Macaca fascicularis: one gene and its partner. The protein of the gene in region 1 purifies or fractionates together with the protein of each later gene. This does not show direct contact. Links are inferred from orthologs where the notes say so. Each region holds a gene or a part of one and is shown on either strand. Other genes may lie near its edges.

Region 1 (3,820 bases):
TGGAGTGCAGTGGCACAATGATAGCTCACTGCAGCCTTGAACTCCTGGGTTCAAGCAGTCTTCCCACCTTGGCCTCCCTAGCAGCTGGGACCACAGGCACATGTCACCACTCCCAGCTTTTTGTTTTTCGTAGGCGGGGTCTCGCTACATTGCCCAAGCTGGCCTCCTAGGCTCCCAGAGTGCTGGGATTACAGGCGTGAGCCACCACGCCCAGCCAGCCCCCTTATTTTTTACTCAGCTTGAGTCTCAGTCTTTCCATCTGTAAAATAGTATCAGACTTTGCAGTATGTTCTGAAAACAGGAGGCAAAGATGGGAGTAGGTGAATAAAATACGCCATATGCTTGCTAAACGCCGGCTGTCTCTCGGGGGGTCGGGGGCGCAGGTGCAGGGACAGGGGCTTCGGTTACCAGCAGAAGGCTCTGCACATGGTCTGCTCCAATCCGGTCAATGTTGCTCAACACAGGGCCGTCCAGCACACTGCGGATCCGCTCCCCTTCCTGCTGTAGCCGGGGCAGAATCAGAGTCTTGATAACCTGTTGGAAGGGAAAGGAAGAAACCAAAGCCGGAGGGTCACCAGGGTCTCCCAGGTGGGGGCACAGTGCCCTCTATAACCTCATGACTGCGTCCCCTCCCCCATTTCTTCCTCCCAGAGGCCTAACATCGTGTCCCAGCTCAGCCAAGCCTGCGATGGAGCCATAACGAGTCGTCCAGGGCGTCTTCTCGTCCACCCAGCTCTGTAAGGGGAAGGAAATAAACTAAGATGAAGGGGTCTGAAAGGATGATTGATAGGGACCCACGTCTTTCATAGACACTTTCCTTGTAAATCATTAAGACATGACAGTGAGGCCAGGCGCGGTGGCTCACGCCTGTAATCCCAGCACTTTGGGAAGCTGAGGCAGGCAGATCACCTGAGGTCAGGAGTTCAAGACCAGCCTAGTTAACATGGTGAAACCCTGTCTCTACTAAAAACACAAAAATTAGCCAGTTGTGGCCAGGCACAGTGGCTCACACCTGTAATCCTGGCACTTTGGGAGGCTGAGGCAGGCAGATCACCTGAGGTCGGGAGTTCTAGACCAGCCTGACCAACATGGAGAAACCCCGTCTCTACTAAAAATACAAAATTAGCTGGGTGTGGTGGCACATGCCTGTAATCCCAGCTACTCAGGAGGCTGAGGCAAGAGAATCGTTGGAACCCAGGAGGCGGAGGTTGCAGTGGGCCGAGATCGCATCATTGCACTCCAGCCTGGACAACAAGAGCAAAACTCCGTCTCAAAAAATAAATAAATAAATAAATTAGCCAATTATGGCTGCAGGCACCTGTAATCCCAAGTACTCAGGAGGCTGAGGCAGGAGAATTGCTTGAACCCAGGAGGCAGAGGGTGCAGTGAGCAGAGATCGCACCACTGCACTCCAGCCTGGGCAAGAGTGAGACTCCATCTCAAAAAAAAAAAAAAAGGCATTACAGACAAGCCTCAAGGCCCTTAGAGCCCCACAAGTTCCAGTCCCTCTTCCCTCTGCCCTTGTTTCCAGTGTCACTTCCCCCAACCAGAGGTGGCCAGTGATGAAACCAATGGTGCTCAAGTTTCCCTGGCTCACCTTGGTGAAGGTCTTGGTGATTCGGGACTGGATGTTGTTAGTGGTTGTGCTAAAATGCTTGCAGATCTGGGCCACCAGGCGGGCAGCAAAGTCTCGGAGTGCCCAGTGATTGTCCACATCTGGTCGCAGGCACAGCTGTCTGCTCACGATGCAGGTCATCACAGCCGGAATCAGCTCATGGACCTAAGGGAGAAAGGGCGGGGCAGCTGATTCTGGTTTTGTTTGTTTGAAACAAAGTCTCACTCTGTCACCCAGGCTGGTGTGCAGGGGCACAATCATGGCTCGCTGCAGCCTCAATCATCCAGGCTCAAGCAATCCTCCCATCTCAGCTTCCCAGGTAGCTGGGACCACAGGTATGCACCACCATGCCTGGCTAATTTTGTTTTTGTTATCTTTTTTTGTAGAGACAGTAGTCCTACTACTATCCTCAGGTTGTCCTCAAACTGCTGAGCTCAAGCGATCCTCCCATCTCGGCCTCCCAAAGTTGCTGGGATTTCAAGTGTGAGCCACCGCTGACCACTGACTTCCTGTTGGTGGCAGCAGGGTCCCTGGTCCCTGGAAGGGAAGGTGGGCAGGACCACTCACGTATTTTTCTAGATAGAGCGTGGGGTTGTCCATCAGCGCCTTCACCATACGCATCAGGTAGATGAGTAGGGCCAGGTTGTTCTGAACCACATTCACACGGACCTGCGGGAGGGAGGAGTGCTGGGCATGGGGCAGGGAGACCCTCACAGGAGCTTCCGCTGCCGTCCCTGCACAGTGGAACCTCATGCTCTCACCCCCTCCGAGATGAAGGTACTGAACCGTGGCAGCATCTGATACAGCCCGGGGTCCGTGGCAATGCTTTGCAGGGCTTCCTGTGGGAGGAGGGAAGCCAGTCAGGTGGGGGTAGGATGTGGGGAGCAATTCATAGGACCCCCAGGAGGAGGAGTCTCAGGGCCAGGGCAGGCTGGTGGGGCCCTCACCGCCCTCTTGGCCTCGCAGGAGCCCACACAGGCCTCGGTGATCTCCTTGTAGTAGAGCTGTTGCTCCACAGACAACTCATGGATGCTCCGGGGCTTCAGTCGCAAGGGGGCCCCCTCCAGCAAGGGCGGTGCCTTCTTCTCTTTCCCTGTGTGATTGGAGAGGTGGGTCTGACAAAGAAAGCTCCAGAAGAAACCTCAGTAACAGAAGAACCTTAACCCTCCACTTCCCCTGAGACTCAGGAGACCCAGCTTCTTCTTAGGCTTCCCCATCCTTTCTGGGGCTCTCTGGCCCACTTCACCAATGGCCACATGGAGGCTTGGCATGGTGGCTCACACCTGTAATCCCAGCACTTTGGGAGGCCAAGGCAGGCGGATCACATGAGGGTGAGTTTGAGACCAACCTGGCCTACATAGCAAAACCCTATCTCTACTAAAAAAAACTACAAAAATTAGCTGGGCGTGGTGGTGGGCACCTGTAATCCCAGCTACTCAGGAGGCTGAGGCTGCAGTGAGCTGAGATTGTGCCACTACACTCTGGCCTGGGTGACAGAGTGAAACTCTGTCTCAAAAACAAAAAAAGGATACAAAACAAATGGCCACGTGGCTTTGGGCAAGAGTACAGAGAGGCCTGGCCTAGGAGGACTGACCTTTGCCGTCAGCTGCGGTGGCCCCTTGACCTTTGCCCTTCAGGGGTCCGTCTTCCTCTTGGCCTGGCTTGGCTGACTTCAGGGGTTCTGTGGCTTCGGCCTTCTGTTGCTCTTTGGGAGCTGGTGGGAAAGCAGGCACAGTGGGAGGCGTGACGAGAGTAGCAGGAAAAGTAAAGGGAGGAGGCTGGATGCGGTGGCTCACGCCTGTAATCCCAGCACTTTGGGAGGCCAGGGCGGGTGGATCACCTCAGGTCAGAAGTTCGAGACCAGCCTGGCCAACATGGTGAAACCTCATCTCTACTAAAATTACAAAAAATTAGCTGGGCGTGGTGGTGTGTGCCTGTAGCTCTAGCTACTCAGGAGGCTGAAGCACAACAATCGCGTGAACCCAGGAGGCAGAGGTTGCAGTGAGCCGAGATTGTGCCACTGCAGTCCAGCACTCCCGCACTCCAGCACAGGCAACAGAGTGAGACTCCATCAAAAAAAAAAGGTGGAAGGAGGGGGAAAGGGACCCAGAGACCCAGAGGGTGGGGCATGGAGGTTACCTGGGGGTGGGTTCTCGGGGATAGCTGGCTGGCAGCCCTCGATGCTCAGCCAATGAGCTGCAAGGA
Region 2 (3,414 bases), on another chromosome or scaffold:
TAATTTTTGTATTTTCAGTAGAGACAGGGTTTCACCATGTTGGCCAGGCTGGTCTCAAACTCCTGGCCTGAAGTGATCCTCCTGCCTCAGTCTCCCAAAGTGCTGGGATTACAGGTGTGAGCCATCGCACCCTGCCAATAATTGTGTATATTTATGGCATATAATGTGATATTCTGATCTATGTATAGATAAAGATTAAATCAAACATACCTAGTACAAGGTTGAAGAAGTTCTGTTGTATTTTAACAACCTAGAATTTCAATTTAGTCATGGGAAACTGCACTGGACTCATCATGCAACATACTACATAAAGGCCTATGTTCAAGGCCAGGAATCACTTCCCTAATAGGTCAGTATTTTACGTAAGTTATTTATTGTGTGCAGTTAAGTTTCAGAAGATGTGAAATCTAAACATACTTATTAGTAAACTGTGCTGACAGAATTCTACTTATTCCAGCCGTGTGTGTCTGTGTCTGTGTGTGTGTGTGTATCCTATGAACTAAAGGTACAGTTTCATTTGAATTTACATTTATGTTCTGGATTGCATACACATATTCATCACTAAGTTTTGTCGCTTTCTTGAGCTTTCACCTTAACTGCTTTTCCTTGAAGATGCCTTAGATTTGTGGATCCTGTTTAGTTCATGGTGTTCTTTGAAAATCTGATGAACACACTGACTACTCTTTTCCTCCTCCCCAAAACATTACACATATAGTAGTCCCCTGTTATCCGCAGTTTCAGCTACTTGTGTTCAACTGTGATCCAAAAATAGATGAGTACAGTACAGTAAGATACTTCGAGAGAGATCACATTCACATATATTTGATTACAGTATGTTGTTGTAATTGTTTTTTTATTATTGTTAATTTCTTGCTGTGCCTAATTTATAAATTAAACCTCATAATTTAGAAAGTTTATAAATTGAACTTTAAAGGTTGTAAATTTAACGGGGGGTCTTGGAACATAATCCCTCAAGATAAGGGGGGAGACTCTGTAAAATTTCACAGAATTTTAGAGGGCTCATAAGTCCCTCTGAAGAACCCTGATTTGCAGCATTACTGCCACCTTCCTGTTGGGATATTAAAACAATTTACCTCTTGCTATAGGAACACAAATGGTTCTACAATTTCAAATTATTCACAAATTCTGTTCCCTACCCCCGATCACATTACCTGGTTTCACAGGTGTGGACTGAGAAGGTGGAATCTGCACCGTAAATCTTTGGCTTGTCACTGACATTGGAGTTGCAACTTTATTTGGGACAGACACTGTTTGTGGGGTTGCTGTAGTTACAATAAACAGACCATGTTTGTTAGGTGATTTATACACATTTATATTCTACACTCAGCTTACCGCAAACTATCTTCAAAGCAAAGGAAACTAATAAAAGGTAAGGAAAAAGTCATTAAAAATAAGAGCAAAAGAACCTTAAAAAATTTACAAGCTTGCTTAGATGTTACAAAATTCAGTTTAGAATAGTGGTAAAGAATGTTGGCTCTGTAGCCTACCTGCTTGAGTTTGAATTCAGGCTCTCACCTACTAGCTGAGTGTCCCTGGGCAAGTTATTTAAATTTTTGTGCCTCAGTTTTCTCCTCTGTAAAATGGGGGATAATATCACCTATTTCATATAATTCTTGTGAAAATTAAGTAAAACTAATCCCTGTAAAACTCTTCAAACAGCATCTGTTACATAGTAAGCACTGAGGTTTAGCTGGATGAAGACATAAAGATGAGAGTTTAACCTACCAGAATAAAGACCCAGGTTTTCTATTTATTACCTTAGTTGGCACTTTTCATCTTGGTCGCTTGCTGAGAATCAGAAGATGTCATCTATGCCCATGAAACTAAAGCAGAGATCAAATATACCCCTTGAGGTCTCCAGGTGGGCCCAGAAAATTTATTCCCTTTCTGTGTTCGGATACTTAAGCAGAAAAATATCTTGGAGATAACCTAGTCTAAACCCCCAATCATCTAAATTCTACCCATTATTCCAAGGTACAACTCAAATACTACCCCGTTTTATAAAACTTTCCTTAATTTTCTCAGTTAAATGTCTTATATTCTGCCTCTGAAGTTCCCTTAATGTCATAGGAGTCATTATTACTATCTTATCTCACTGACTAGATTACAAGCTTGGTTAACATTTTTCATCCTTGTGAGCACACGGCTCTTTTACCTTGCTCCTAATAGCTACTCAACAAATGTTTGCTTAATAAATGTATTTTGCAAGACTCGAAGACTTTATATACTGACATCATTGCTCTCTCAAAAAATACATTTATGGAAATGTATCCATTTCCAATTTTTCATTTGGGGATGCAGGCTATCCAATACATCCCTTCCCCCTGGAACCAGCAGCCTACCCAGAGATAGAGTTGCTGAGGACACTACAATTATCATTTCTAGAGAAAAAGGTGCAGAAAGTCTAAGGGAAGAAAGCTCAAAGGTACCGAGAAATCTGGGTTTTACTGCTTTCTCTCCCAAACACAGAAGGTGAGACCTTCCTCTAAAATATCTCCATCCCTAAGTAAGTTTTCCCATGTATTAAGGATCAGTCCAAAGAATTTGGTGAAGCGTAATGAAGCAATGTAAGTATTTTATTTTATAAAGAAAAAAGAAAATTCACAGTAGGTGAATGTTTTCTTGGCCTTAGGATTGTTAATACATTTAAGCAGGTATGGAGTTCAGGCTTTAAAACTGAACACATTAGACTGTAGATGGAGCCTCCCCAAATTGAACAGAGTAAATACTCAGGTCTTAAGGTCTATATAAATCATTTTAATTTTTTTTTTTTTTTTTGAGACAGAGTCTTACTCTGTCGCCCAAGCTGGAGTGCAGTGGCATGACCTCTGCTCACTGTAACCTCTGCCTCTTGGGTTCAAGTGATTCTCGTTCCTCAGCCTCCCGAGTAGCTGGGATTACAGGCACCCCTCACCATGCCCGGCTAATTTTTGTATTTTTAGTAGAGACGGGGTTTCACCATGTTGGCCAGGCTGGTCTTGAACTCCTGACCTCAAGTGATAGGCCCGCCTCGGCCTCCCAAAGTGCTGGGTTTACAGGCATGAGCCACCGCACCTGGCCAACTCATTTTAATTTTTTTTAAAGTTTAAAACTTGCATCTTTAGGCCTGGCGTGGTGGTTAGTATTAAAAACAGTTTTTTTCTTTGAGATCCTTAAGATTTTTGTACATCTTAATCTTCTACTGTATTCTCTTATCTATTTGGAAATTTAAATTTCTAATAAGCAGTCTACTGCCATAAGTGTGTGTGGCACCTTATAGAAGGCACAAAGTACACAGCTAAGAGTAAACTCCTGTTTTTGGTATCAGAGTTTATACCACCAACAGTGGGGGCAATGTCCAATTTTATACTCATTTGAGATCAGACGTTTCTTGTGGCTTTCTCATTTTGAAAG

Evidence for each region.
Region 2: the proteins of TAF6 (region 1) and TAF9B fractionate together in Homo sapiens (co-fractionation; 3 studies listed by BioGRID, with this or other methods). This does not show direct contact. The link is inferred for Macaca fascicularis from reciprocal best matches to the Homo sapiens genes TAF6 and TAF9B.

The regions. Positions count from the first base shown.
Region 1 is NC_088377.1:48,763,738-48,767,557, forward strand, and holds part of TAF6 (transcription initiation factor TFIID subunit 6), read right to left. Parts: intron 3,812-3,820; coding exon 3,755-3,811; intron 3,330-3,754; coding exon 3,210-3,329; intron 2,709-3,209; coding exon 2,563-2,708; intron 2,455-2,562; coding exon 2,377-2,454; intron 2,285-2,376; coding exon 2,183-2,284; intron 1,781-2,182; coding exon 1,598-1,780; intron 736-1,597; coding exon 661-735; intron 535-660; coding exon 409-534; intron 1-408. UniProt on the Homo sapiens protein: The TFIID basal transcription factor complex plays a major role in the initiation of RNA polymerase II (Pol II)-dependent transcription.
Region 2 is NC_088395.1:84,643,731-84,647,144, forward strand, and holds part of TAF9B (transcription initiation factor TFIID subunit 9B), read right to left. Parts: intron 1,284-3,414; coding exon 1,173-1,283; intron 1-1,172. UniProt on the Homo sapiens protein: Essential for cell viability. TAF9 and TAF9B are involved in transcriptional activation as well as repression of distinct but overlapping sets of genes. May have a role in gene regulation associated with apoptosis.